2 linked regions of the Lonchura striata genome follow. The protein of the gene in region 2 binds, or shares a complex with, the protein of the main gene of each other region. Links are inferred from orthologs where the notes say so. Each region holds a gene or a part of one and is shown on either strand. Other genes may lie near its edges. The genes, in order: GYPC and MPP1.

Region 1 (15,635 bases), on a different chromosome or scaffold from region 2:
TAACTGATGAGTGATCCCTCCCTGCCCTTATCTCGATGCACAAACCTTCCATTTCATTTTCTCTCCTCTGACCAGCTGAGGAGGGGAGGGCCGGATCAGGTTTGCTGAGCACCTGGAGTCCATCCAGGGCTAACCCACCACAGCAGGGCACTTCAGAGGACATTTGAGAATTAGCTTTTGAAGATAAAAATTGCAGATTATTGTGGCAGGTGAAAATTCAAATGGTGGAATATTGATAGAGAGTGTTAATTAACACAGAGTGTTTATTCGTGCTACATAGTGCATGTAATCAGTTACACTCACTAAATGAGGATTTGATTGCCCACTGTTCCAAAGCATACCAGCACTTTCATATCATAAAGACAGGGATTCTGTCCATTTGCATTTGCTGAGTACAAGCAGAATGGCCTCTGGGAGGAGCACAAAACAGTTCCAGAATAGAAATAGCAAATTTAAATATTCGTAAAAATGCTGCAACATCCTTTATGTCTGGATCTCAGCAAAGAACGGTGTTGGCTTTTTCTTAGGGAGAAGAAAAAATTTTTGGATGTGATGTAGTCCATTGCACCTAACTTTAGACACAGAATGAATAATCTTCTGGAAACCTCTATCTCCTCCTTTGACTCCAGAGGGTATGCAGTAGACTAGGATAGATTATGTGACTAATATTTCAAACACAGAATGTACATAAAATGACACAAACCCTTATCTTTAGAAAGTTTCTTCAATAGACTGCTTCATCGTAGAGTCTAATTAGGAAATTTATTTTGAGTGATGCTGTAGAGGAAGAGTCCATATATGAATATTTATAGGAAGCCTTTGGTAATCACAAAAATCTTTCAGCTTGCTTTTAACTTGTATCAAAACCTAATCATGTGCTTAAAGTTTAGAGGAAACCTCATGTTTTCTTAAATCCTGGAAGCCATAAGGGCATTCTTCAATCCTTCTCCAATAAAAGTTTGACATCCCAGAGAGGAACCAGCAGTGTAGCACTGTGCTACACAGAATTACTCCAGCTCTTATTTCAGTGTTTGAAAAAACTGACAAGATCCAGGCATCCTGAAGATTTCTGAACTAAGTATTTTCTCAAGGCTTCCTGATATAAACCAATTCAATTCCTGAACTCTCCCTGTAACATTTTTTTCAGCCTGACTTCACAAGAGAGAATTCATATTTATCTACCTCATAGAGAAAAGATATGTTTAGATTATTCAGATATTTTCCCTGTAGTTATGTTTATTGTTCTGAAATATAACTTCCTGGGCAGCTCTTTGATTTAATAAGGAAGAAAACTATTTCCAAATAAAGCACTGCATATTTCATAGTGAAGTATATATATTTATCTCAGTTGAGTTTGCTTGTAGCTCATTTCAAGAAAGGAATAATTTCTATACATTGTCTTTCAGCATCTCATCTTTCCCTTGCAGTTTAATGCTTACCATGCCTAACAGGAGCACAAGGACAATAAAAAGTCGATCTGCATGAGTGTTGCTGAATTGACAGCTGAAATCTTCAACCACATTTGTACATGTCATGTAAATAAGGCTTGAGGAAGTGAAAGGCATTGTACCCAGAAGGAAACCATTTTACCCATTTGGACTCTGCATTAAACAAAAACAAAACTCATTGTGCAATTTTGCCAGCAAAAGCATTCGTTGTGTGTCCCAGTGCCCGAGTGGCTGAGCTGCTGCAGTTGGGCTTGTTGCCATCCCAGCATGTGCAGTTTGAGATTTTTTTAGTGTTGTTCTGTTTCTTGCAGCTGTATATTCTCCTGCTGAAGAACTTCAAAAATCTTGAACTAGTGCCAATCAGATACAGCTGAATTGCCTTTACTGTAGTAAGAAAAATTATCAGCATGCAATTTATTATTAGAACAGACCATTCTAAATTTTTACTTCCATCACAGCAGACAGCTATATCCATTTTTGTATAAGAACTCACTCAGCACAAATAAAAGGAACAGTAGATTATCTGGCTTTAAAACCATATCCTATTTTCAGCTGGGCTCACTGGAAAGTGGGCCTCAAGCATAGCCATGCCCAGGGCATTTAGTTGCACTTGGAGAGCTCTTTCTCTCCCACACCCTGTACAGAACCAATAAAACAAACTTCTTATCAGTGACTTAGGAACCTCACTTCAGTGAGATTAATATTTTATTATTTGAGAGAACTACAACCACCCATTTAGCAGGGGGAAGCAGAAAATAAAAAGTTATATCTACTGTAGCTGTAAGTTTACCCCGGGGTTCTGTGGATCCTATACCAATGGTGTTTTAGGTGTTGTTTAAAGTAAGATTTAAAAGACAACAAAACAAACAAAAATCAGCCACCACCAAAACAAAAAACCCAAACAAAAAACCTCCAAAACCAACCAAACAAACAAAAAAACACTAAAAACAAATGAACAATAAAAAGGCAAACCAACACTACCAACATAAAAGTATTGATGCTCTGCATGCAGGATATGATAACCACTTGCCACTTTGGGAATTATCTCCAAGAGCCTAAGGATTTGCAAGTGTTACAGTCAGGAAAGAGAGGAGAACACACCCTGAGGGACCTTGGGAGGACTAAGGTCTGTTCTAATCTCTTGTAAACCCTTTCTTTCCCCCCACAGTGCCAAGTTATTTATGGGATTCTAATGAATTCCATTAGTATTGCTAACTGTATCTTCTAGTTATTTAACTAATCACTTAACAAGGGAAGCAACCTAAGTCAGTAAACATAAACATCCTCATGATAGTAATTAAAGTAATAGAATTAAAGAAAAATTATTGAAGTTTAAGGTTCTTTTAAAATAAAACCAACTCAAGTCACATTATTTATGAGAAAAATGAAGTGCAACCCTCCCTTCAGCTAATAATTGTGCAGAGTTATTTTTAAAGCAGTGATAGGAGCAGTGCTAAGCAACAGGGTCTTGGGGTCATCACACACATCCTTATGGAGCCTTAGTTTCATTCAGTGTAACTGTGACTTTACCACATGCCAGCATTGTGCTCAGACAGGAGGTTGAAACACTAAACTTCACTGAAGTATCTCTGAAGAGAAGCACAAGATTTTTGCTCTTGCACTTAGAGAAGAAAGTAATCTTAAAGTGATGCCTTTTTCTCTGGAGAGAATAGTACATACAGGCTAAAAGAGCAAATGCCTCAGTTATTATATTTTAGAAAATATCATCAGCCAATCCGGCTGAGTCTGTTTGGCTAAAAGTTGCTGCAAGGGGGGAAGCAGACTCAGGAATGGATTTTAAGCACACACTTATCTAACACCTTTGTTGGATGTAACCCAGTTACTGCTTTGGCCAAAGCATTTGCACTGTGATTAGAAAGATTTCTGCTTTGGATGTATCACCTCTGTGCTTCATACATCCAAGCTAGAAAAGGGGAGAGGAGAGTCTGAAGCCCTTGCTAAAGTACAGGAGATCCAATCTCCCAGAGAGCTCAGAAACAAGCCCATTATTACATTACATAAGGACAGGCCAGATGCTGTACTAGCAACCTTTGAGAGGATTTTCACCTGCATGTAAATAGACATGAAAACAAAATTTAACGCTTAGGTAATAAGACACAACAGGGTCCACAATCATCAGAATTCTTGACGTTCAATTTTCTGGCCACTTCAGAGTTATCACAGAGTATACTGAGTTGGAAGGATCATCTAGACCAATCCCTGACCTGCCCAGCACCATTCCCAAGAGTCACACCAAGTGCCCGAGAGCATTGTCCAACCACTTCCTGAACTCTGTCAGGCTTGGTGCTGTGGCCACTTCCTAGGGAGCCTCTTCCAGTGCGCAGCTATGCTCTGGGTCAAAAACCTTTCTCTAATATCCAACCTAAACCTCCCCTGACATAACTTCAAGCCATTCCCTTGGTTTCTGTCACTGGTAACCACAGAGGGATCAGTACCTTCCCCTCCTCTTCCCCTCACCAGGAAGTTGTAACTGCGGTGAGGTCTCCCTGCATTCTCCTCTTCTCCAGGCTGAACAGACCAAGTGACCTCGGCCACTCCTCGCTCAGCTTCCCCTCAAAGCTCTTCACCATCTTGGCTGCCCTCCTTTGGACACTCTCTAATATGCAACAACTAAACAACCCAACTTATTAAAATTATGGTGCAGTAATACAGTCCCATCTATGTAAAGAAGAGTAAAAGTTTTCAGTCAAACTGAAGATCAAACTCGTCAAACTAGATCCTCCAGGAATTAAGATTTGCAGTGTTTAATTCTACTTTGTGTGAGCAAATCTTCCCTTTTGTTTTAAATTGCAGAATGATTCACTTTATTTATCATTCTATTCTTTTGTTATGAGAAATCCATGTGCTAAAGCCTGCTCTGATTTCTTAACTCAGCAAGAGCTGATAGTATGATTCACCCTCTCCACATCTACCCAGATGACATTACCAAATACGTTCCAAATATTCACTATCAAACTGCATGTCAACATCCTGTTGACTGGTCTAGAGTGTGAGCAGATGTGCTTTCCAGTGGTGTTGGAAATTATATTGGAGAGGAGGCAGTGGCTTTAAGACATCCTGTCTGATCTTTGGACATGATGATACTATAGAGTTACAGAGACTCTGCACCACTGAACTCTTGACCTTACACATCTTCCTTCTATGGTATCATTAAATGAACCACAGTTCATGGAAAGCCAAGCACCAGAATCAAGGAAGATGTAGAGCCTCCTTATACTTCAATTTCACAGAGAGTAGGCATGTTTTGAGAAGCATTTGCATTGTAGTGACACTAAAGTTTCCCCTGAGTACAGACACAAATGGAAAAGAGTTTGACCCAAGCAAACTAACAGATTAAGTGGGAACCTTAAACACAAACAGGCATACTACATCCTTTATCTGCAAATAATTGTGCAATAAGATAAAGCAGGGGATATACATGTTCCAGGGATAAGAATATATTCCAAAGGTTCAAGCAGAAGTCAGGGGAGTGGTAAAAATAAAGACAAATGCCTGGGATGCAAAGTAGGAAGGAGAGCTGATCTCTTATCTCCAGGGTAAAATCTTCTTTTCTGGCCTTGTATGAGGGTCAAGAACTAGTTCAGTGTTATGAATGCAGACAGAAAATTCCCTCTCTGTGTTCCAAGGATTTCACAATCTTGTTGCACTTAAAGTCACAGGCTGCAGAGGCACCACATAAAACATGAGTTATACCATCATCACAGTCCATCCTGGATAATAAGTCTCCATTGATCCCTTTTGCATCACAAAGGTTTAATTCTCCATGACTTTACACCAGAGCTGAGATGATCCACACAGTCTATGGCAAAATTCCTTGCTCTTTCAGCACAAAAATAAATGGGAAAGAGAAAGAAAACAAGGTGGGGGGAGAACCCAACACACAAGGTAACAAATAAATGAACTATTTTTCCTTACAGAGATGGAGATAAAGATAATCCATCGAAAATAGTATTTCATGGGATGTCCAGAGCCAAATGCTTTCCTATGAAGAACCCTCCTTCAGGATTCAGCCTAGCAGTTAAATCTCTGCTTGTGCTTGACCTGCACAAAGTCTTCAAAATTTGGGATTCCGCCCAACCTCACCCTGCTCAGCAGCTTGGCAGGGTGTTTAAGGCAGCCTGAAGTGTGTAGCCAGCAAAGGAGAGGAGGAAGCCAAGACCATGTCTCCTGCCAGCTGGCCAGGTGACCATGGCATGTAGCCCAGTGGCACACTGAGCCCCTGGCTCATCTGAATGTGCCCACAGTGCTGCCACAATGCCCATCTTGAACTCACAGCCAGGCACAACTGCTGCTACATCCTCTCCTCAAATGTGTAGAGGATGGATCCAAACACCTTCTCTTGAAGCTTGCAGGCTGGGCAGGGTGGGCAGTGAAGGACATGATTGATATCTTTCCACTCAGCCCCTTTCAATCTTGCCATTGCCTTTACAGGATGAGATTCCAGATTATGCATTATGTTTTGCCATGAAAATCCATCAGAGAGAGGGATTTCTAGTGTGATGTCCTGTTGTTGCGAAGCATAACTTCCTGGAGAGAGCCTCCTTCCTTTGTTTTATTTATTTATTTTCCTCTGAGTGCAGCCTAAACCCTCCCTTCCTGTTGGGAACAACAGCTGCAGCATGCGGCATCAGCTTGCCAAGCCTGAATGACTGTGAAATATCATTTATCTTGGAGAAAGATAGCATCAAAGAGAACAACTATGTGGGCCTGACCATGCATTCACTACATAGCTGGGCTTAGGAGGAGTAGGATAAATTGCAGTATCGGAGGCAAAAGAGGTCCCACTCCTGAGCTAACACCCTTGGACCTGAAAGCACTGTCACATCTGAAAGCACTACTGAAGAAAAAAAAAAAGGGAATTTTCATTTCCTTATTCAGAAAAAGATTATTTCAAAGGCTGGATATGCAAAAGTATTCACTGGGGCAGGAAAGCTATACGTCTGTAGGTTAATGGGAACAGCATGGCCTTGAGATCAAGTAATTGGCTGATGGAAGCCACAGGGCTGACACAGATTTCCTAACATACCTGTGTTTTCCCACAGACCTAGTGAATCCAATCCTTAGATAAAAAATTATTGTCAGATACCCTTCTGTTATCTCCTCCCTTTAACCCTTTTGGGGAGCTTTTGTGGTTTTTTTGCCAGAAGCAACTGCTATTTAAGATTAGGAGAGAGTTCACTCAAATAGGAAATTAATGATTAATCACACATTTTCCCCACCAGCACTCTACTCCCATCTTTTGCTCTGGGTTCCTTTGCTGCCTCCTGTCCCACATGATAAGTTGGCTGAGAGCACTGAGATGCTTTTTGTTCAGTGCCCAGTCTCAGACTCCCCTGGAAGCATGCTGGGCTGCATGCTGCTTCCCTTGACAACATCACATATTTCCCATTAGTGATGGGTGGAAAGGTCAGGCAGGTCTCTTTAATGGCCTGTTTGAGAGCAAATAGCCTTGGGAAATGGCTCTCTGATTTCTGGGAACCCCAGTCTATTCAATAAGCAAAGAAAGAAGTCCCCAAAAAAGTGACGAGAACAACACATTAAAGGGAACTTTCTCATGTGAGTTTGGACCTGCCAGAATCCTCCTACATAACTTGGGTATAAGTCTTCCAGTGATTTTGGTGGTGGGGAGGGCAGCTTTAATAAGAACACAGAGAGAGACAGGAAGTGTTGCACAGATGCAGAGGGGTTAAGCACCAGGACCTAACTGTGCATGCCATTTTGAGTAGTGTGCCACAAAATTTCTAAGACAGTCCAGGCCACTGGCTGTAACATAATAAAGCCATCACAACTACAATCCTTCACATCACCTGCAAGCAGCTAGGGAACCTTTTCTCAATAGAACTTCTGAAATTTCTTAGACATCACAGAATCATAGAATCATACAATGGTTTGGGTTAGATCATCTAGTTACAACCCTCCTGGCATCTTACACTAAATCAGGTTGCTCCAAGGCCACCCAACTTGTCCTTGATCATGATGATGAAAGATTTAAATGTAAAAACTTCACATGACAACAGTTCTAGAAACCCCTTATTTTACCTCTGCACATTGTGTTTCTTACACAGAAGAAGCAGTAATTAAAAACATGCCCATCAGTATTTTCATAGAGAAGCTATCAAGTGTAAATGAATGTCACGCTGTGGAGCTGAAGCCAGTGCAGCAACGTCAGGAGTTTTTGCTATTATTCCTCTGTCTTTGTTTTATGCCTTGCTTGGCTCTATCACTAAATGTTCCAGAGCTCTCTACCACAAGCCCAGAGTGTGGAAATGCTGACTGAAGTAATTTACTGCATCTATGTTCACAAACAAGCTGTTAGTTGCTGTTGGCATGTAAATAAGTCACTGTTCTTTCCATCCTATAGCTGTTAAATAAATACTGTGAGCCAAGTTCAGGGCACTGATTTCTTGTAGGTGGTCACTGAGATGATTTCACAGAAATATCCTGTGACAATTTTGCAAAACAGGATGGCCTCAGCCTGAATTTCATTACTCTGTTTTTTTCCACTTCCATCCGATGGTGACTATGTTTCTGCTGTCACAGGCAGGCTGTTAATTCATCCTGACTCCATAACAGACACCAGGAAAATGGAAATTTTGTCCACTCTCCTTAGTGTTTAAGGCATGTGCATTAAAAATAATCTGTATTCTGGCATAACCTAGAAGTCCTAGTCCATGTCAGCTACAGACAGGCTGTGTATGCACACTTACAGTGACTACAAGCCACTGACTGCAGCACAGCATGCAGACAGCCAGATAGCTTTAAATGGTAGCTATATAAACAAGGCAGCTGGCACCCTAGTCCAGGCTGAAAAACTTTCAGTGGAGTAGGCAAATTAACCTCTGCAGCCCAATAAAATACATCTTATTTACAAATAACACCTGCCTGTACATTAAAACAAAAATACCAAGACTAGGGAGAAAGCAGGTGTCTCATCTTTATTCTACCAATGGCAAACTGGAGCAGAGATTAAATATTTTCCAAAGGTGCCATAGGAAGCCTGTGTCAGTAACTGGAGTTACTTGTGCCTCAGCCTGTGCTGTAGCCACAGGTTTCTCCTTGCTCTGAGCACAGTGTAGATTCATGGCATATGCTGATGTAACTACTTTGACCCAATAAATGCCATCCTCAGTTTTCACTTGTTAAAAGGACAGAAACAGTCAGACTGTGTGGGTTAAGGGGGACGATGAGCAATGCAAATTGAAAGTCCTACTTTCAATCTTACTCACTAATAGTAGACATTTTAGGAAAGGGAGTCAGCAGCAAGTTTTACACTTAAAAGTAATAACATCAACAGCAGTGGATAAGGGTTTGGGAAGTGGATTTAATAGGTGTGTCTAGATTTGGCTAAGAATGAAGAGAGCATTTTCTTTCCACTGGTTGCTGGCTAATAAAAGCAAAGGGGTGGAATACATCCAACTTGCAAAACTCGAATACAGTTACTGCTATCTGCAAATGGGTGCCCCTCCCCGCTCATGTGAGCTGCACAGGCAAAAGAGAATGACACATGTGCTGTTTCCTTTTCCAGTTGTGGAGGGGTCAGGAGCCAGGCAAGGAGAGCCCGAACAAGAGGAGCATTTTCCTGGGTTCCTCCAGCTGTTCTGTTCAATCCCGCCGTCAGTTTTGAGCAGGGAAGAGAGGCTGTCACCACAAATAAGGCATTTTTCAAAGGCGTAAATTATGAGTTCCCAAAACAATGCGACATCTCAACCACGTGAGTACCCTTACCCCCCTCCCCCCTTACAATAAGAGTGGATTTATCAGTCCGCTGCTTAAGGAGCAGATTGTCTAATGCAGTTAGTATGGAAAAAAAAAAAAAAGAAAAAAAAAGCCTGAGATTAATTCTGAAGGAAAAAAGTTGTGAAGAAGCTGTTTTCTTCCTTAATTCTTTGTGTGTGTGCGTGCGCGTGTGCGAGGGGAGAACTGAAACGGGCTCTGCAAACTCTGGCTCCTGAACAGCACCAAGCAAAGCTAGTAACGTTTCCGCCTAAACCCCAGCTTAGAAAAGTTTCATTTGAATGTTTTTCCCTCCCCCCACTTCAGGAATGAAGTTATAGAGCATTTTGAAAGCGTACTGACGCTTTTCTAAGACAGTAATGGTGCTGCCCAGCTTGCGTTTAGAGTCTCAAGCTGTCTGTGTGTAACGTGAGACTCAAGCCACAAACTGACGGTCTATATTTAAAGCCACAATGTGTTTCTGCTCCTGAAAATTTAGAAACATGGGCTTAAAGACAAACAAATTGGTTCTTCAGCAAGAGAGGGTACAGGAAGGCAAGTCCTCTGTTTCCATAACTGCATATTTCAGTAAATTTTAAAAGAGAGAATTTGGCCCGAACAGTCAAGCGAGCACAGAGGCTCAGCTGCACTATGGTAATGTTCATTTTGGGACAGTATTAAAAAGAAAAGTGAAGGAAAGAGTGTGGGTTATGATTTGCTAAGCTGTGAAAAACTCTTGAGTTTTTGGTGCTGCAATATATATATTTTTTTTTTTTCTTATGGCTTTAGTGTGATCTTTCTTGTTTTAATTCAAGAAAGTACATTTGTTGTATTTTTAATAAATTAACTGCCAATAGCAGAATTGTTTGTCAGACCATGGTGTCAAAAATGAAGGTAGAAAGTACAGACAGCCCTGCTGGGAGCAGCCCGCAATTCAGGATTTGATCCAGATACTGCTATAAGGATATTTGTTCTGTATGGCTGTAGACACTGACAAAGTTTTCCAAACTTTGAATGAGGCACGCTGATCCAGAGAGAAGACACAGCAAGCAGAATCTGTGGCATCCCAACCAGCAATTTCTAGTTACCCTTTAGTCCATTTTGCAGATTCTAACCAACAAAAAAGATTAGATGTTACCTTTATATTATATTCTACTCCATTCTGCAGTTTAGAATATTGTATTTTGTTTTCTGTTATAGCCAGGAAAGATACAGGCAGGCTAATTCAGCATTCTGAGATCTTGGGTTTGGCACAGATTGTGTAAATTACTGCTATTGCTGCTTTCCAAGCATGTCCAGGAGGGTGGTCATGATTCACTGAGGTTCTTCTTGTGTATTGTGAAATATCAACAAGGGTCCAGACTCAGTCTTGTGCATTTAGTGACAAGCTTGGCCAAGTGACACATCCAGGACCAGCTCTACAGTTCTGAATACATTACAAACAACCTCTCTGGCAGACCCAGGTTGTCAAACCACACCGAAGGCCCTAGGGGGAAACAGGAAGAGGAGTTCATGTCCCATGGGGCCTTTTGTCTCCTCATAATGAAAAAAGACAGATGCATCAGCTTCTGCTGGGTTTTTTTCCAGTATGTGGACAGGAATTCTCAACTTGAACTATTTTAAGATCATAAGATTCTCTCCATGAAAACAAATTGCTTTCAATCCAGCTAGGAGTATTCTGGCTGAAAAATAGTAATGATGTATTGTCTTTGGTTGGGGATTTTGGTTTTGTTTTGTTGTTTTGGGTTTTTTTGTTTTGTTTTTTTAATTAGATGGATAAAATTTATAGATTAGGAACAAAAGTTAAAGGGAAGTCTAATGATACCATATTTCTGTATAATGTAAGTTTGGTGCATTGATAATGGTTGAGGTTTTAAGGGAAGGTCTTTGGGAAAAGGGCCTTATTTCCTATGAAAATTCCTGCTATTTTTGTAAGAAACAAGACAAGAAACAATTGAAAGTTCAGTGTATTGACAGGCACTATGCAGCATGGACAGCAGATGTTTGCCAGAGTGGTAGAATAATTGGGAAAACAAATTTGCTTCATAGCCACACAGAACATCTTTGAGATGGGTGTGAAAATGCTCAAAATAATCATCAAAAACCTTTTGATATGTATACCGAACATATGAATTCTTTGCTGAATACCTGCAGGTGAGACCACAGAGCAGCTGCCAACTGATGTAAACTGAACAGTGTTAAGTAACCTAATTGCACATGTACTTTGCTTATCTCCTTGTATTCACCGATGGCTGATAAGGAATTTTTATTCATTCTATAAATGCGGTATGATCCTGTCAATCCAAGGACGGGGGAGCACACACTGTTTCAGATTTTAAATATTCAACTCTGTGAAGTCTGTAAATGTATTCTACCTCTATATGGGGATGCTCCACCATCTCACCTTGGATATTTCCCATGTCCAGCTCAGATATCCCCCAGATATCTGAATGGGATCTCTGTACACGTAACAGGTGAGTGGGACACTAACTCTGTGATGCATTTGCTTCCTGCTCAGATGAACGAGCGTGACTTAACCATGAAACCTGAGGAACTCCACAGGTTTGGCAGTCTCAATTCAGCTGGCAGCTTTTGCCCTCTTCCTGTTAGACTGCAGTGACCCTGTCTTGAGGCAGTGGGACAGCTCAAACGAGGTGAAGGATTAGGACAATAAACGTCACCAAGTCAAAGGTTCAACCTGGGAAGGCAGTGATCTGTGCAAAGCCATCTTTTTGGGTCAAAGGTGTTCACCCCTTTGGAGAAGGTGCTCGGCAATTTACAGGATTTCATCTGTACCAGCAGGCTGGGAATGTTTGTGTGGAGTCTCTTATATTTCAAATGACATCTGTCAGAGGAGGTAGTGGTTAAGGAGAACAGTTTGTGGAGGCTTTTCTTCCTTATCACCCATCAACAGATAAGATCCTCTTCCTGGGGAGATAGCAAAGCAGTATGATGTGTGCAGTGCAGAAGAATTGGCCCAAAAGGAAACCCAGAAGCAAGGCTGGTCCTCAGGCCATGCCCCAGCTGCAGAGGAAGGATAGAGGGTGAGGAAGAGGGTGAAGCAAACCCTTCCTGAACTGTATGCACTCCCTCTGCATTGCCAGCTGCCCTCCAGCAGTAACCCAGGCACTGCCCTGCTCAGGAGAGCAGAGTCTGGTGCTCTGTTTTACAAGCAAGAGGTCTTGGCTCCATCAGCCCCAGCTTCTCCACCTGCCCCAGTGACAGAGCTTCTGTCAAAATGAGTCACATATGTGTGGGCTGTCCTCTCAGAGAGGCTGAGACCTTGCAAATGTGATAAAGGCAGAGTGACTTCTGGCTGTGAATGGGGAGTGTGGTTCTGAGAACAGCCTTTCCACATCTTCAGCTCATAATGAGATATATTTTGGGGCTGCAAACTGATTCTTTTGTATGTTCTGGAGCAATACCACTTGTCTTTCACACAGGGTTTGTGAAAAGCCTTGAATGAACCCTTTAGGTTTTTAATTGTGTTATTCACACCTTGGCAATATATGTGATTTCATTGCCCTTAATCAACAGAAGTGCTTGCCTGTGACAGTAAATGATAAACAAAAACAGAAGCTATTGATTATGAAAATTTGGTCTTCATGAGTGAGCATTTATACACAAGGAAACCTACAGATTATAAGAACCTCTCATTTTTAGCACAGAAATCTCAAAACCTATCCTACAAGTATTTATGTAAATTGAATGTTTCTGCTTGCATGTTTGTTTCCTACCACTGTGCATACGAATTGGGAAGTTTGGCTTTATATCCCAGGGCTCTCCTCACACCCTTACTGTCTGACACATTTATGTGAAAGTCTAGGAATTGAAAGACTCAGAATGCACCTGAAATTGCAGTAATTAACAGCAGATATGTTGGCAAACCACTGAGCTGGGGAGAATAGGGAGGATGTCGACTCAAATAGGATCTTCTGTTTTAAAATACACAATTTTCAGCATTGCTGAGCATCATTTAAAAAATACACATTAGATGTTAAAGATTCAGGTTGTGGCTAGTTGTGTGCTTAAGCCTGTTAATATTATAGCATTATGCAGTGTCTGCATCTCATTGCTGATACTGCTGCACCTTTATTTCTAGGCTCTTGTGTAATATACCCTGTATCCATCACTGTTCAAATGACTGAGTCCAATCAGCAAAGTCTTTTGTCAAACAGGCTTTCAGGACTGCATTGTCTAATGAAAATCTGTTTGTGTGTGTGCTCTGTGCAGTGCCTGTCTCTATTGTTGGGGAGGGATCAGTATTCCTATAGCATAGAGAAATTCAAGCCAAGAGAGGGATCTGATTTTGCTAGGTGCTGTACAGTCACCTCTTCTTCAAAAGGCTGGTAAAGAGGAGAGATTACAGGTGGGAGAGAAATCACTGCTCTCCATGGACACTGCTAGTGAGGCAGCTTTTATCTGGGAAAAGCTGGGGTGGTAGGAGTTTGTTTGATTCCAGTAGATTCACTGGTGCAACAGCTCTTTGCTTCCCACTGCCTAATTTTATAATGCATGCTCAGGGAAAAACACATAGCTCAGAAGTTATTTAGGAATTGGCCTGCTTGTTTCCCATAGAAAGATCAGAAAACCTTTGAAAACAGCATTTGACATGAGTAGGAGCTTTGTTTACAATTTTTTGCTTCACATACAATTTGTGATAGAAAATGCATGAAAAGCCTAGATGCCACAGTGACAAGAATATAGGAACACCTTAGGAGGGCAAGTGTTCGGGCAGCAGACAATTGTGTTTTACTTCCTTAATTTTCTAAGTCAGATGAATTTGACAGCATTACCGCAGTAATGATCAGATGAAAAATTCACCAGCTGCTAAGCATTCTGAAAAACTGCTTAGAGAATGGAGAAAAGTATCACTTGGAGAAATCAGGGTTTGTTTGCCAATAATTTATGAACATGAATGGAGGAAAGGCCTCCCCTCCCTGGATAATTTATTTGTAACTGATAACTGCATCAAGTACCAACACTGCTATGCTATAACAGACATGCAGCTCATAATTTGACACTGAAATAAGATCTGGACTCCTCTCTTTCTCGAAGAGTCAGCACAATCTAATTCACACCAGATTCCTGTCTCTGCTATGTTAGCTTGGAAATCAAATGCACTGCCTGTGGTAAACTGATCCTTTATTGCAGATGTACCTTGCACGTGTAGTTTCACCAATGAGACAGCTGGCCAAGTGATTTTCCTCTTAATTAATCATCTCATATGCAAAGGACGCCAGTTTCTCATATCTTCTTCTCTTCTGACATATGTTTCACCACAGGGTTCTTCCTGATGAAGCAGAATACTTCACTAAAAATCTCAATGGGTTAAACTTGTTCTGCTGCATTGGAGTTTTAAAGTGATTTTTCTTTCCTTTCCTCTGCCTCTCTTTTTCATCTTAAGAGGGAAGAAAGAATTCAGTTATTTCGTGAGGGTCTCTACCTCTTTTTTCTGCAGATAAGCTCTGAAACAGAGTTAAGCTTTTTATCAGTAAGTTGCAGGGGGGCATTTGAACACACCCTGAGACAGTTCTTTGTTATTTTGAGTGATAAATGCCTATTTTACTGGGGACTACATGTTTAAAATATCTAGTTTTATGAGGCAGTCCACACCATAGAGGACATGTGTGACAAGTTCACAGCCATACAGAAACAGACATCAAATCCTTACATATGTGTAGGTGTTTACAGTTGTGAGCAGATCCTCTTTCAGTAACACCAAACCTAGAAAACGAGTTTGAATTCTGTCTGTTCACACATATATACACACAGAGTGTAAGTACATACAACATACCTTATATCCGTATGCATACATACACAAAGACATGAGGATTTATACCCACCATCCTTTCCACTACTTTACAGGTTTATATTCCTTTTCTAGCTCATCTGTGCTGGGAGAATTTGGTAGTTGCATCTTCAGGACAATTTTCTAGAAAAACTGATCATATTAGTGTATTCATGCCAAAATTAAAGTTATTCTTCAAAAAAACTACCCTCCTTTGAAAACAAAATACTTATTCAAAAATCAATTCAATCCTGTTACATAATTCTGTGACCCTCTCAAACAGCTGAGAAGATTAATTTATGCTGGAAGAGATTTTACAGCACTGCTATTCCAGTTTAACCTTTTTTTGGTAGGCAAACATCTCTGGTGTTCATCTTGTTTTCTTTGAAAAGCATTCTTACTAAGACAAAAGTAAAATGCTTCTTGTCTGCTAATTGGATGTTCCAAAAATTTCAGTCACTTAAGAAGGGATGAAAAAGCAGGTCTTCATGGATGACTTAAGATAAACGAAATAATCCTCAGGTAAGACAAATAGACAACTTAAATACAAGTGATTAAAGAGTTACCTGTATGAATGAGTAGAGAGAAAACATATTTCTAGTGGATGGTGAAGAGTTACCATAAAAATGTAGTCATCCAAGAGTTCAGGAAACTTGTGTACA
Region 2 (15,289 bases):
CTAAAGCACAGAAAACTTCCAGAGGCAGCTCAGCTGATAGACAGAGAGCTGCTGGGTCTGGGGGAGCAGGAAGCAAGCAGAATGAGATGCTGTTGGCTTTTACACTGGTTTTGCCAGTAGTAGGTGAGATGGCTCTGATCAGCAGTGCCCCAGGGGAAATGGTGCCCTAGGATAATTTCTTTGGCTTTGCACACCTGCTCTGCAGCAGCTAAAAGCAGCACTGGCTGTGCTGTCAGCCCATGTCCCAAACCTGCCAACTGGCTCTGGAGCAGCTGTGCACAAGCACACCTGATCACACATGTGCAGGGTGTCTCCTTCCCAGGTATTCTTGTCCTCCCCCTGGGGACAGGTTCTCCTTATGTTTCCTCACACCAGAAATTCTTCACATTCCTCTTAGATAAAATCTCCAGGGAGAAAAGAAGGTGGGAGTAGTTTGGCCAGAGCCATGCTGCACACAGGGGCCTCAGGCAGTGCAGGGACCATGGCACTGCAGCAAGGCACAGAAGAACTTGTAAGCAGGGCAATGCAGCACAGCTGGAGCAGTGAGCAGGCAGAAAGCATCTCCATGATGGGTCTGTTCTAGCCCCTGACAAGCACTGCTCCTCTCTTCCAGGCTGCTCCATGCCCTTAGGAATGGAAAACAGAGGGATCCCTGATGAGCACATCTCTGCGTCCTCCTACAGTGCCAACGTCTTCTCCAGATGGACACCGGCCCTGGCCCGCCTGAACCTCCAGGGCAGGACCAACGCCTGGAGGCCAAAGGTAACCTGTGTGAGGAGATACCAGGCAGGCAGCTGGGATCCCAGCGGGGTGTCCTAGTCAGGGCTGTATGGGAGGTGTGCACAGCCACATGCACCATGCAAACTGCACACTCACTGCCACACCGATTTAGCGCCCACCAGCTCCAAGCAGATGTCTGGTAGGGCAGGTGAAGCAGAGGGAAGTGCAGGGCCAGCTTGGCTTCAGCTGCAATGAATGTGTCTTTCTCATTGCTGCTGGAGTGTTGAAGGCAGTCTATCCTTCCCCAGAGCAACAGCCCCAGAGAGTGGCTGCAGGTGGACTTTGAAGTAACCAAGAAGGTGACTGCAATTATAACCCAAGGTGCCAAAGCTCTCTTCACTCAGATGTTTGTGAAGGAGTTTGCTGTCTCCATCAGCCAGGATGGCATGCACTGGAGCCCAGTCCTGCAAAATGGCAAGGAGAAGGTAAGCAGAGCTGCTCCATGGCCAGAGCCCATGGCCACCCTCAGGGCAGCAAGCACAGCCCTTGGCAGCAAACATGCTCGCAGGATTTCTCTCCAAGAGCAATGAGCCAGGCTGTGCTTCTTCCTTTTTTAAAGCATGCCAAGGGGTGTTTGTCTGGGTTGATCCTGTCCTCACTATGCCAGCCAAGTGCATCCCTGGTTTCTGTCTCCTCTCCAGATTTTCAAGGCAAACCAGGACCATCAGAGCACAGTGAGGAATACCCTGGAGTCCCCTCTCTTTGCCCGCTATGTGAGGATACACCCCCGCCAGTGGCACAACCACATTGCCCTGCGGCTAGAGTTCCTTGGCTGCGACACTCAGCAGGAGTACTGATGGCTGCAGGGCCAGGAGGAGGCACTGCCAGCCCAAGGACACACATCCACCAGGCACTGAGCTCTCCCCAAGGCTGGAGCCATCCCTCCAGGGGCCTGGCTGCTCCTGCTGCTGGGGAAGAGAAGGGCTGGTCAGCTTCGCAGTGGCTGGGTCATTATCTGCCTTTTCCTGTGTCTACCAGATGCCATATACTCAGATGTAATGATGAAGAATTAAACAGTAATTTTCCAGTACCTCTCTGCACTTTCTCCTCTGCCTTGGTCTCCCCAGAGGCCCAGTCAACATTACCACCAGCTACAAATTAATTAGCCCCAGAGCTTCTCAGCCTCCTTTTGCACAAACTGCTGCTGTCCTGGGCACAGTCCTGGAGGAGGAAGAGCAAAGATAAGGATGAGGGGTGGAGGCCCTGCTCCAGGCCCCAGTGTCTGTTTCACAATCAGTGGGGATGGGAAGCTAGAGGGAGGCAGCTCTTGCTCAACCTGACTCAGCACTGGGATTTGGCCCTGCTCTTCCCTTTGTCTCCTTTCCACAGTGCTGCTGTGGATGGGTGCCATCACCCCACCTTTCTGTTGCTGCCTTGAGCAAGCCCTCCTTGTTCTCCACAGGAGTTCTGTGGATGCCTGTGGCTCCCAGGGACCCTGGAGGATGAGCTGCCACTGTGACATGACCCCCAGCAAAGTGTGCCATGGGCCAGAGCCATCTTCCTGACACCTGTGCTTTCCCCCTCCCTGGCACCTGCCCCACGCAGTGGCAGATGTCTCCCCTTCCAGAAATGATGATGAGCAGGGTGACACTGGCTCCTGCCTCATTCCTCTCGTGGGGTGGGGACCTTCCAGAACAATGTCCACCTCATGAGGGTGGGGAGCACCTGGAGGGCTGTGGGGAAGGCCTGGGGTCATCCTTGTTGGGCAGCACTTCTCCTTCAGCAGCTTGCCAGAGCCTGTGCCATGCCATCCCCACTGCAGTGAGTCCTCCATCTGTGATGGGGCAGCTCGGTGGCCCCACAAAGCCCCTGGCAGCTGGTGTAGCAGGGAAAACAGGGTTATGAGGGGGCTTTGGAGAATGGCAGGAGTCAGCTGGGTGCTGTCACAGTGGGATAGGCAGGATGGCTGCAGCAGTCCGGCAACATCCAGTGATTGCTGGTGAACTTCCAGGGTGCCCCATCAGTCAGACAGTCTCTGCTCACACCTCTCTGAGATGCGGCCTGCAGCAGGTCTGAGAACAGCTCTGCCAGCAGCACAGGGGACAGCTGTGGTGGGGACAGCAGGGTTGTGCCATGAGCAGGGTGCTTGTGTGAGGGATGGCTGCTCTGAGGCACCCAGTTCCTGCCTCCAGCAGCTGTACCGGGCTGTGTGGTGCACAGAGATCTCCCCTCTGTGGCCTGTGTCTGAAGGAAGCAGACATGTGCTGCAGACCACCCCAGTGGTGTGATCTGTCTGGGAACCCATGCCCAGGGGAGATCAGAAACTGGTGTTTCAAATAACAGCTTGAACGTTTGCCACGTTCCACTCTGCTATGCAGGGAGCCTTTGCTGTGGCCCTGGCAGTGATTACATTACAGCCCAAGCAGGAGATGCAATCACCCTTTGGCTCAATTGCATTCCGACAATAACCAGGCACAGAGGTGAGGAGAGGCTGCCTGGCAAGCACTGTCCTGAAGAGATGGATATGAACCATGAGCTTCTCAAAGGGAACACCCCTGCCTGAGGCCTGGGAGGACAAAACCTGCCACCTCAGGGCCTTCTCAAGGCATCCTTCCTCAGCTTCAAGGTAACTCCATCTCTCCTGTGCTTCAGCCCAGCTGAAGCATAAATACCCTTCAGGGTCTCTACCAGTGGATGCTCAGGCTCATTTTCCCTCCAGAAAGAGGCTGCCATGTTGTGGCACATTTGTCTGGTGACACAGGGTTAGCTCAGAGCAAAAGCTCTGTGCACCAGAGCCCATTCTGGCTTATTTTCAAAGAGGAAGCACAGCTGAAATCTTTGCAGGCATCCCAGCAGCCTTCATCCACCAGTCCCAAGCAGTTCCAGGATGTTCTCCAGCCATCCAGGCAGCAGGGAAGGGACTTTCTGAGCAAGAGCAGTAGTGGGCAGGCAGGCAGATGTGCCTGAGCCTGCCAAGTTCTGGCATCCATTATTGGAAGCATGTCTTGACATTTATCTTGTGAGGAATGGAGACCAGACGCTGTTTCCTCATAGCACGATGCAGATCTGAAATGCATCACATCCTCCCCCAGCCACAGACGTTTCTGTGCAGGGGAAGGTCTTGACCAGCATGAAGCTCTCTGCCTTTCAGCCAGGAGATTCCCTGCCTGCAAAGAGCCCTGCTGCAGCACGGGCTGCCTGGTTGAATCCTCCTGGACCCCAGGGATCTTTTGTCTTTCATGGCTCAGCTGCCAGGGTTGCTGGGCTGGGTGATCTGGTGCTCACAGAGTTTCTGGTGTCTCCTGGAAGAAAAAACACATCCTGGCTGTCTCTATTAACCCCAAGCAGAGATTAATTGGCAAACCAAAGTGTGTGTGGTTTCAGTGCTGAGCCCCAGCCAGATAAGCCATGGGCCAGGGAGGTTTCTGAATCTCCCTTCCCTCATGCTGGGTGGAGAGCTCTCAGTGTGCTCCCTCACCGGAGTCAGATGTGGGGAGTGTTTGCAGCTATTGCAGCTGTGCAGGTGGGCACCATTCTCTGAAAATTTGCCAGCACATAACAGAAACAGGCAGTATCAGGCTGAAGAGAGCACCTGAGCAGGGACCATGGCCAATGGGGAGCAAAGCAGAATTTGGGTAATCACAGCTTAAATGCAAGCTCAGCCAAGGAGCTATAGCCAAGCTGCTCACTACCTCCTCAATCTCAGTTTTCCCATATGCAACCAAGAGGGAATGAACAGACTTAGATATTTTTCTGTCTGTCAGGTGTCTCTTGTCACATTTTCCCCTCCTACTACACATTCCATGATTAACTTCAGGGCTTGTCTCTGTTCTCTGTATCTCTTGCCTCCTACTCCACATTTCTACCAGCCTGTTTCTAGCCCATGAGTGCAAGAGAAACCCTGCACTGAGGGGTCCTACGTCCAGCACATCTCAAAGCCATGCCCCACCAACCCCAGTGTGCATCCACCTCCCCCTCCTCCTTGCTGGCCGTTTCAGCTGCTAGGTAAGGAATGCTCTGCAGACCCTTCTTAGTCAGCTGGGCAGGGATTGAAGATGAGGCTCCCAGCAGCATTCTCCAGCCTGGTGGGCACATCTGCTGTGGCTGAAGGCAGCCAGGCACCCTTTGACTTTTCTAGTTCATTATTTTCTCATCCTAATCAGGCTGTCCAGGGAACCCTGCAGACAAAGTCTGGGCCACAGGTTCCACCAGGTGCAGCTACAAAACATGGCCCACTTAGCTGTCTTTCTTCTGGTCCTGGTATTGACTCCCTTAATCTCCTACTAACACTGCAGCCCTGCTATGCGCTTAGTACAGACAACTTGCTTAGCATCAGGAGCTAAATTTGATGAAGCCTTACACCACAAGTTGTGAATTTCCACCCAGATAGGCTGAACTTTTACCAAGTTAAGTAAGAGGGGGCCCCAGAGCTGGTTTGAGCTGGAAGATAAGGAAGCAGGGAAGGCTATTACCATCATTATGTCAGCTGACACAGAAGTCTTAGAGATAAGAGAAGGAACAACCCACCCAGAGACAGTGAGGGGACCCAATAAAGAACAGGAATACCCCAGATCCTAATATTACTAGTGGTCAGAACTGTCATGTGAGGGGTGGGGAACTTATATTGTAAGGATATAGTTGTCCAAGGATTTCTTCAATTGGGGTTCCTCTTTGGAGGTACCTAGCTCAAGCTGTTCTACATGTGAGATAAATAAACAACCCATTTACTCAGTGGATTGGCAACTTATCTTCTTCAAGCAGGCCCATGCCCTGTTGATGGTGGCATAAATCCTGGCAGATGGGATAATTCCTTCAACAAAGCCCAGGGTCCCAGATGGGCAGTGTGAGGCTGAGGATAGGGCAAGAAGGGGAGCTATATCTGGATGATGCAGGACTCCAGGCAGGTGATCCCACAAAAGTGCGCAACAGCTGCCATAGGAATGGGACTGCTGAGAAGAGCACTCCCAGTCCAGGCTGTGCTTTGGGACTCTTTGCTCCTGGTAGTGTTAGAGCAGTTTGCTGGAGCCAGTCACATCAGTGCCTGCAGCTCCCACACCTCCTTTTCTGCGCATCTCACAGCATTCTGGGCTTTCTTGTAGCCCAGTCAGGAACAGATTTTTTTCCCACGAGGCAGGAGAAAGTTGCTGTCAGAACAAGATGGATTTTCCTTCTTTCTCTGTGCCTCCCTCCACCCCATTTCTTCCACACCCCCCCCCCACCCCCATTTTCCTGTTTCCTTTCTCTAGAAGTTTGTATCCTTCTTTCTTCTCCTTGTATTTATTACGGTAACTTTAGACCAATTCACCCTGGAGAACTCATCTAGCAACAATGTGTGAGTCTGGTACAAGGCAACACCTAACCCTCCAGGATCCCAGGGATGGTGTGAAAAATCCTTTCTATGTTTTCTTAAAGAATAATACAGCAGAATTAACTTTCCATCCCCAAATAAAGCTCAGATGTCACTTGGACCCTCTCATCAGTAAGACCTACAGTAAGGGCAGAAATGGTTTGACAGAAGCCCTTTGTACCATGCATGGCTCACAAATTCAGGGATTTGCCATCCCACCCATGCAGGTTGAAGGAGGTGGAAGACCCAGAACAGCTCAAGAAGAGGACAGACCTTGCTAGAGTGTAGAGAAAGGTACTCTGGAGCTCTGCACACTGGCAGAAGCCAGGAATGACCATGCGTTTGTGAGAGCCAGTTACGCACGAAGGCCACTTTGGAGAGGTGCTCCCCATGTCCTTGCTGGGCCCTTGCCCAGAGTGTCCAAATGACAGAAATGAAGATGGTGAAGAGCCTTGAGAGGAAGCCTTGTAAGGAACAGTTGAGGTCACTTGGTCTGTCCAGCCTGGAGAAGAGACTGAGCACAGATCTCATCGCAGTTCCAGCTTGTTCATGGGAAGGGGCAGACCCTGATCCCTTCTCTGCGGTGACTCCCTAGTCACAGGACCCGAGGGAAGGCTGCAGTTGTGTCAGGGGAGGTTTAGTTGCAGATTCGGGTCAGGCTCTTCCCCCAGAGGGTGGCCGGGCACTGAAGAGCTCCCCGGGGCAGTGGTCACAGCAGCAGCCTGCCGGAGCTCACGGGGTGTCGGACAATGCTCTGGGGCACAGGGTGGGACGCTCGGGCTGCCCTGGGCAGGGCCCCGAGCTGGCCCCGGTGACCCTGGCGGTCCGTTTGGGGCAGCTCGGGTGCGCTCTGTGACCCGAGTGCTTGGGCACGGCCAGGGCCAGGCACGGGCGAGGGGCTGGCACAGCGCTGAGGCGATGGGGGCACTCCCGGGGAAAAGCCCCGCGCGGCGGCGGGGACACCCAGCGCGACCCTCCCAGCGCCGGCTGCCCCGGCCCGGCCGCTCCGCCCGCTGCCGCCGGGCGGCCCCGCCGAGCCCCGGGCCCGCCCCGGCCCGCCCCGCCGCCCGGCCCCGCCCGGCCCCGCCCGGCCCCGGCGCACTCGGGCGGAGCGAGCGGGGAGCCCGCGGCGCCGCCGCAGCCGGGCCGGGCCGCTCAGCGCTGCCGCGGCCAGCGGGGCCGGCCGCAGCTGCCGCCGGGATGACCCTCAAGTCGGGGCGCAGCTCCGGCGGCGGCAGCATGAGGACGGCGCTCTCCGACCTCTACCTGGAGCACCTCCTGCAGAACCGGCCCAAGCCCGAGGTGAGCGGCCCGGTGCGCCCCCACACCCCGCACTGCGCCCCGCTCCCGGCCCCGCAGGGAGCCCCGGCTGCCACGCTGTCCTGCGGGCCCTCAGCCCGGCACTGCGGCCGGCTCAGGCCCGGCGCGGGTGCCCGGCGGTGCCGCTCCATCCCGCCCGCCCGCACACGCAGGGGGGAGCAGGGCCCCCCAGGCAGAGACCCCGCGCTGCGCATCCAGGTGCGTGCCCGGGCCCCAGCAGCCCGGGAGCGGGGATGCTCGTGGGGACGCGGGTGCCTCCGGGGAATGCTCAGCCAGCGTAGCCGGCAGGGCACAAGGAGCTGGGTGCAGGGAGCAAGGCTCCAGCATCCTGCCGCGGAGAGATTGTGCTTGTTTTGCTGCAAAGTTGTAGCTGGTCTGAACTGGAACTGCCGGTCACATGAGCTGATTCAGCTGCTGAGCAACCTCCAGGTCCACGGCACGGGCTGGAGGAGGGTGGGGGTCTCTTCCCCGGGAAGGAGAATGCCAGCAGCCCTTCTCACGCCTGCTCCGGGACAGGGAGTCAGCCGGTGGCCGCATGCGCCCCACCTCCAGCAGAAGGAGAGCAGGCTGCACCAGCCCTCCGTTCTGCTGGGTGGGCGCCTTCCTCACTTAGTGTTGTTTGGAGTGGCTTGGGTGCAACCAGGAGAAGGTCGGCAGTTGCCAGTGTTAAACAGCTGGTGCTTTTCTCCCGTCAGAGATTTCCAGCTTTGAAAAGGCATCCTTGGTGACGCCATGGTAAAATGTGGCTGGGCTAAGTTTTCCTTGCAACTGTGGGGAGCCTCTGAGAGAGAGAAGGGAGGAAATTTCCCTGAAGCGCTGTCCTTAGCCCATCGTGTTGGACATTTAAATATGTAAAAGAGGCTTGTCAGATCTGTCTCACACCACTGGCTCACCTGTTTTTCATGGTTTAACCCTGACAGGGTGCTTTGAGAAAAACAGTAGGAAAAAAATAATTTAAGCAAAGTGTCTGAATCAGGCAACTGCTGAAAGGAGCTCTCCCATCCCTCTGCCTCCCAGATCCAGGCAGAGGGCCTGCCTGGCTGCAAACAGAGCAAGGATCAATTGCCAGTAGCAGCAGAGCATGGAAAGTGTAGGAGCTGCCCTACAGCTTCCTAGTGCTATGGTGACTTTATTTCAGTAGGGATAAAGAGAGAGATGGTGAAGTGAGATCTGCATGAGGCCTTTTAAAAGGAGCTCTGTAAGGCTGCCTTCCAGCAGTGTCCTGAGCTTGCCAGTCACAGATGCCTGTCTCTGTGTCACGGGCATGCAGAGATGGTGCTGGCCCACAGTGGCTGTGGCCCCTCCATGGGCCGCCAGGACATCGCCCAGCAGCAATGTCCCTTCTTGGGAAGGGTGCTGGGTCTGCCTGACTGCTCCTGGTCTGGAGTCAAACAGGGTGACTGGGAGGTTTCTCTTCTGCATTTTCTCTGGCAGAGCCATGTACTGGGAAATGCTGTCCTGTGTTCCTCAAGTGGTGACGGGGCATGCAAATCATGGCAAGTGGAAGCCATGTTATTGCTGGAAAACAACCCCAGGCCTCTCCTCTTGAACCTCACCATGTGCATGCATATCTTTGCCATATCTCCTGGCTGACAAGTACAGATTTACCAAAAAGGTGTGGGCTTTACTTCCAGCTGTGCACATGGTTGGCAGGATGACCTTGGGCTTGTCCCTTTATCATCTGTGACTCAGTTCCCCAGCTGTAAAATGGGCAGCGAATGTGACCTTTGGGAGTTTGGTGGAGGAGAGGAGGATAATTCTGGGGAGAGCTGATCCTGAGGGTGCAGAGGGAGCACTGCACTTGCTTCTGGCGGTATTTCTCGGCATCCAACTGGCAGCAGCTCCAAAGCAGACTGAGGCCACAGTCCCCAGGGATCAAAACCTGAATCAACCCCAGGTAAAACTCAGTTGAAAGCTGAGCTAAAGCTTCTGGCTTTGACTAATGAAGTGGGGAGGGCTGGTTCCAACGTTTTAATCTCAAATGTATTTTGCTGTGTAGCTGTTTCACTGCTACAGGGAAAAAGCTGTTTTGAATGGCTTGTTCTGGAGGCTGGGATGGAGTGGCAGGGCAGCTCCTCCTTCTGTCAGTGTTGTGGTTTCACTGGCTGTGCCTTGGAGGTTACCAGCTTCACAAGCACATCTGGAAGGCTGCATCAGCCTTTTCTGGTGGGAAGGTGGTGCCTCAGCAAAAGTGAATGTGCTCCCTTGAAAATCTGGCCCATCTCCTTTGCAGCACTCTCTGATCTGGAGTCAGTGTGAGAGCATACATTGCCGGCAGCACCTTCTGGCTGCCACCATTTTGTATCCTTCCTATTTCTCTTTTCCCCTTCCCACAGAGACCTGTTGGTGTTACTGGGCCTTTTCCTGGTGTCAGCAATGTAATCCTCTTTGGTTTAAATGTTTGTTGGTTTGATTCTTGTTTTTATACTTCAATCAAATTGCTAGAAGTCATTTTAGGTGGGATTGTTCCTATGGCTTGAGAAGTCAGTAGGCCCTGGCAGAATGAATTACTTCTAAATATCTATGTGGCTCTAGCGCCCCAGCCTGCTGGGCAGCCTTAAAGCAGCTCCCAAGCTCAGTTTTTTGCTACTTTGCTTTTTTTACACATTGCTGTATTTTTAAAGCTGTATGAGACTGAAATGGATCCTGGATGGGGAGGGAGGCAAGGCTGGAAACACTGGAGGGTGGGAGGAGATGTTTATTGCTGGGTCAGAACACCTCTGCACCAAGCAGTGCCCCAACCTCCCTGCCCGCATCCATGGCAAAATGGCAATTATAATGTGAGGGGGTCATGATTCATGGAGGGAGCTGGGATTTTGTTCCTCACAGTGTGGGAAGAGCATGTCTTCCTGCCAGCCAAGAGGGCAATCCCAGAGCAACCTGGCTCCAGGGTTCCTTCTTGCATCCAAGCTGCTGTACTTTGGGGGATGGCTTGGCAAAACCAGCAGTTCTTTTCTCCACACACTCGCCAGGCAACTGTTTTTCCAAAGTTACCTGATACTGAAGTGTCTTGCTTAGAGCAGCAAGGAGAGCCCAGGAACCAAATCTCTGAATGTGCCCTTTGCACTGTAGTGCTGCTTTCCTCAAGTGCTGCTTCAGCCTCCTGCAAACAAGCTGCCCAGTTAATGTTTGATTTGCCCATGCCTTGCAGCCTGGTGGAGCAGCAGCAGCAGCAACTGTGGCAGACAGTGCTGACCCCGCCAGGGGACAGGATGCCAAGTCCTGGAATCCTCGCCACATTCCCTGTTGGTAAACACTGCCCAAGGAACTGGGTATACTTCCCTCTGCCCCAGGATACAGGGCAGAAATCTGGGCCCTTGAGGAAAATGCAGACAAGGGGTTGTGGGGCACCTCTGACCCATGGAGCTGGTGGCTCTTGTGTGCATTGCCAGTAGAGCAGGATTTCTGCAGGAGGATTTGCACCCCTGTCAGCCAGCTGCAAGGCACACAGGGCTGCTGGGTTCTGGGCTGTCCAGCACCCCTGCTGCATAGCTCAGCCCACCAACCTCCTTGCCCCATGTGTGCCCCAGCACAGCCCTGGCGGTGACCGAGCCCGGGGCTGTGCACAGCTGGCGGTGGCTGGTGGCCACAGGCTGGCTCTCAGCAGCACTCACAGATGTTTCCTGTGGAGCAGTGCACGAGGAGCAGTCTGGCCAGTCACCGGCGTGACTCAAAGGCTCTTGAGGTCACAGACTAGGCTGGGCCAAGCCACCGTGAGCGTGGCAGCTGCCAGGGGAGTGCAAGGCAATCCAGCCAGCCAGCTCGTGGGCATGGGGCATGAGAGCCACGCACGTCTCCTGTTCCTGGGTGCCAACATCAGGGCTGAATCTGCCACCCCGAGGGTCCTGGCTGTCCTCATGAACCAGGCATTTTCCCATCCCCATCCACTGGATGGCCGGTGCCATCAGCAAAAAAGCCCACACCATCCCAGTATGGCTCTGGTTTTGGAGAACCCTTCTGCATTCAGAGCTGCCATCAAGTGACCGGTGGCCATCTGCAGGCACAGCAGCCAGTCTCTGGTGACAGACCTTGTTCTCCAGAGTCACTAGAGTGACACTGGTGCTGTGTCAGCATTGACAGCTGGGTGTTTTCTCCAGCTCTCAGCAAAAAGCAAAGGTCAGGGCCAGGAGGCTCAGCTGATGGGGATGGTGAGGATGGGAACTCCCAGTCCCTGGAGCAGACTGTGCTGTGTCCTGGGTCATCAGGCTCTGCTGAGCCTAGAGGTTTGAAGCCAGGAACTGCATGGTCTAACACTTTCCCAAGGCATGACCAAGATAAGTATGATCTGTGCTGGCTCCAGCCACCACACTTTGGCCTCAGGTCGGGCTGGAGAAGGTCCTTGTCCTCCTATTCCTTCTTGCACCTGCTGGTTTGGCAGATGGCACAGCTGACAGAGAGCTGTGGGACAGCTCTAGGCACGCACACTGCTGGATCTGTTCCTCTGCACTGCAAATGGTGTGGTAGCATCGTGGGCTGGCAAGCCAGGCTTGGGGGGATGGATACAAGTTGTTCTTCCTTCCACCCTGCAAGTCTGTGGCCTGGGTGCTTTTCTGGTGCTATTCAGCCTTCTTCTCCGTGTTTAAGCTGTCGGCAGCTGGAACCCACGTGGTCTCCTTTTGAGGAGGAGTTTGGTTGGCACTTCTGGACGTAGTTGGCTTAAAAATAAATCACCGCATCTTGGGCACACAGCTCCCTGAGCCCTTCTCTCCCTGGTCCAGCCCCACAGTGCCCTTTCTGTGGGCTGTGACAGTGACCCTGCCTGCTCTGTCCCTCTCTGCCAGCACCTTTCCTGCTATCCTTGTTAGTCCTGACTCTGCTGCCCCTTTCTTTGGCTCCCTCCCTGCTTTCTGCCATTGCACAGAGCTGGATGACTGTCTCAGCCAGCAGCATTCCAGAACATCCCTACCAAAGCTCATGTAATTGTGGTTAGTGCCATGGCTACAGCCCAGTAGCAGGTGCTCTTCACAAGCCTTCCCCTGGCCTGACCAGATCTGCCTCCCCACCTGGCAGTGTGGGGCTGCAGCTTCTCTGCTCCAGGTCAGGAGTCTAGGGTGAGTGAGAGCAAGCTGGGGCAGGGGCATCAGGCTGATACTTCCCAGCTCCTGGCATGGAGCCTCTGGCCCTGGTGCTCAGTTGACAGGGCAGCCTGTGGTGGGGAGAGGTGTTGGCTCTGCCTGTCTGGGCATGGCCACGTCACGGATGCGGGACTGAAGCTGGTGAGGACCTTGCTGGGTATCCCTGCTTGGCTGTGGCTCTCTGCTCAGGCACTGCTGGGAGGGAAGGGTGCAGGCTGCAAACTGGGCAGCAAAGCCACGAGTCTGGTGTGGAGTGGGACAGCCAGGAGGGTTTGTTTTGCATCGTGGGGTGACGTGGGAATTTGTGTCAGCAGGACAGGCACAGACTGCAGGTTGAAGCTGGTTCTGGGTTTTGCTGGGCCAGCACTGATTTGGAAGAGGCTTGAGAAAAGTCCATTGCAGTTGGGGACAAACAAGCACATTTGTGAGCTGTGTAGAGACATTGCCCCGTGTGTCTGAGGGATTTAACAGGACCATGTCAGGCTTTCTTGGGCTGTGAGGGAGAAGCTCACCAAGCAGGATGGATTTGGAGGTCTTTGTATGGGACCCAAAGCACTCTTTGTCAGCCCTGGTGCCAGCACTTGCTGGAAACCAAGAACAGAGGTTTTCTCAGCACTGAGAGCCTGTACTTTGCTTCCCAGTGTGAGCCAGCATGAAAGGATCTGGGAAGGGGAATGGAATGTTTCTGGCTGGCTTGGGAGCACTGCCTTCAGTGCCTGGGTGTTGGCACTGCACCATGTCAGTTGCCCACTGATGTAGGTCAGGAAAGGTTGAAGTTGCAAAATGAGCCAGAGCAAAGCCTGTCTCCACTTCTCAGAGGTGAGTCTCAAACTGTTCTGTTCACTTAGTGAAGAAGTCCTGGGCTTTATGCTCTGTAACAAGCTACCTGTGAGCCAAGTGCTGCTGTGACACATAAGGAGTGTTTGTGACTCTTCGCTTCAGAAGAGCAAAGAGTCTTTTGGCTTCTTCTACCTGTAGCTTTTCCAAATTTTTCCTACCTCTTGTGTTTCCCAAGCTGGAATACTACAGATCCACATCCACATCTCCAAGGCTGAGGTTCTTCTCCTTTTCTTTTCCTGCCCTTAGTGTCTTCTCCTCCCCTGTGCTCCACCTGCCGCCGCAGGCACCTTAATCCGTCTGAGTAGCTGAGCCGCGGAGCGGGGATCCAGCAGTGCCAGGCGGAGCCCCTAAACCGCGGTGTCTGTTTTGCCCCGACAGGCCATGACTCAGTCCCCAAACGCCATGACTGAGGACATTTATACCAACGGCTCCGCGCCCCTGGGCAGCCCCTCGCACAGCAGCAGCCGCGAGGTGCGCAAGATCCGCCTTGTCCAGTTCGAGAAGGTCACCGAGGAGCCCATGGTGAGAGCTTGCAAGGCCCCAGAGCTGGATGGCACCCGGGGGGTGGAGGGGCAGCTTCAGCTGTGCCAGCAGGCCGGCCTCGAGGGAAACAGGTCACTGGAGATCTCGGCCATGGGAAGAAGGTGCTGGACTCTGCCTTCTGCCCGGGGACCCGAAGCGAGCCCCACAAAGGGTGGTGATGCTTGTGCCGAGAGGAGCTGCAGCAGCCTGAGTTGGCCGAGCAGGGTCTTCCCCCGCAGCCACTGCACAGCCCACTGTGGCCATGGGCCTGGAGAGGACTTTGTGAAGGCAGGAGAGCTCTCCCCTGCAGCGAGCAGTCATGGATTTTCCTGTCTTCCAGGGGATCACGCTGAAGCAAAATGACAAGCAGAGCTGCATGGTGGCCAGGATCTTCCATGGGGGCATGATTCACAGACAAGGTAACAAGGCCTTTGGAGAAGAAGCGGTGCATGAGGTGCACATCTGCAGGTGGTTTCTTTCCATGCAGCAGTAATGCAGGTCCTCAGCACTGCTGGCTTTCCCCTGTGACATGGACATCTGTGCCTGTTCCTCCCCACTCACCGGTCTCTCTGCATGGTTGTCATGTTAAAACACTGGAGGCTTTAGGGATAAAAAAAGGGTTGGGGGAAGGGCTCTCCCAAAAAGGAGCTGGAGATCATCTGTCTCTGTCTCGTGATGGGGTCACTGTAAGAAGAGATGGATCCTACCCTAGAGACGGTGGGAGAAGCTCTTCCCATTCCTAAAGTGCACAGGTGGGACAGGTATCCTGTAGATTAGCTCTGCAGATCAAAAAAAGGTGCCAAAAGAATTAAATAGGTGCTATTTTCTGGTTTTGGGTCTTGCCAAGGAGGCGTGGATACGAGATGTTCTCTGCTTTAGCAGAGGCTGCTTTTCCAGCCTTGGATCCAAGTGGGAAGTCTGTGCTTACCACTGCCAAAATAAGACAGGAGCCATTCCAATAACATTACTGGAGCCTGATTTTTAGAAATATATCTGAGGCTGTAATCTGCCTGGGTATATAAACTGAAAACACAGAGTCAGGAATTCCTGTGTTAAGGCTGTGTAAGGAGGTTGTGATTTGCTTTAGGTGAGGTACTTGGAGTACTGATGCAGGTGCTTTGACCAGTCCAGAGCGCTTTGCACCCAGTGGAAAGCAGCCTGATGACCTTCAGACTGGCTAGGTGTGTATGTTGGGTGGAGGGGGAAGAATTAATTCCCCTTGTGCTTTCCTGCCATGTGCTTAGGTGGCATGTGTGGTTCCAGAAGCACTGCCAGGCAAACAGTGCAGTGTCCTGGCCCTGGAGGCTGATGGAGCTGTGTAAATCGGGTTTGGTGAGCTCTCTTGTCCCTTTTCTGCATTTTCATGTTTCTCACATTGCTGGCAGGCTCCCTTCACGTGGGTGATGAGATCATAGAAATCAATGGGCAGAGTGCGAGCAACCACTCAGTTGACCAGCTGCAGAAG

The links.
Region 1: the proteins of MPP1 (region 2) and GYPC are in contact, whole or in part, in an NMR structure (PDB 2EJY), measured with the Homo sapiens proteins. The link is inferred for Lonchura striata from reciprocal best matches to the Homo sapiens genes MPP1 and GYPC. Residues at the interface, in NP_002427.1 of Homo sapiens: Pro81, Met82, Gly83, Ile84, Leu86, Lys87, Leu88, Leu100, Val130, Gln134; in NP_002092.1 of Homo sapiens: Arg123, Lys124, Glu125, Tyr126, Ile128.

What each region holds. Positions count from the first base shown.
Region 1 is NC_134610.1:13,963,302-13,978,936, forward strand, and holds the start of GYPC (glycophorin-C), read left to right. Parts: upstream 1-8,960; 5' UTR 8,961-9,146; coding exon 9,147-9,180; intron 9,181-15,635. UniProt on the Homo sapiens protein: This protein is a minor sialoglycoprotein in human erythrocyte membranes. The blood group Gerbich antigens and receptors for Plasmodium falciparum merozoites are most likely located within the extracellular domain.
Region 2 is NC_134616.1:18,807,906-18,823,194, reverse strand, and holds the start of MPP1 (55 kDa erythrocyte membrane protein), read left to right. Parts: upstream 1-7,198; 5' UTR 7,199-7,267; coding exon 7,268-7,369; intron 7,370-13,680; coding exon 13,681-13,824; intron 13,825-14,164; coding exon 14,165-14,243; intron 14,244-15,209; coding exon 15,210-15,289. Other genes in the region: F8 (coagulation factor VIII), read left to right, coding at 614-762, 1,029-1,205, 1,422-1,577. UniProt on the Homo sapiens protein: Essential regulator of neutrophil polarity. Regulates neutrophil polarization by regulating AKT1 phosphorylation through a mechanism that is independent of PIK3CG activity.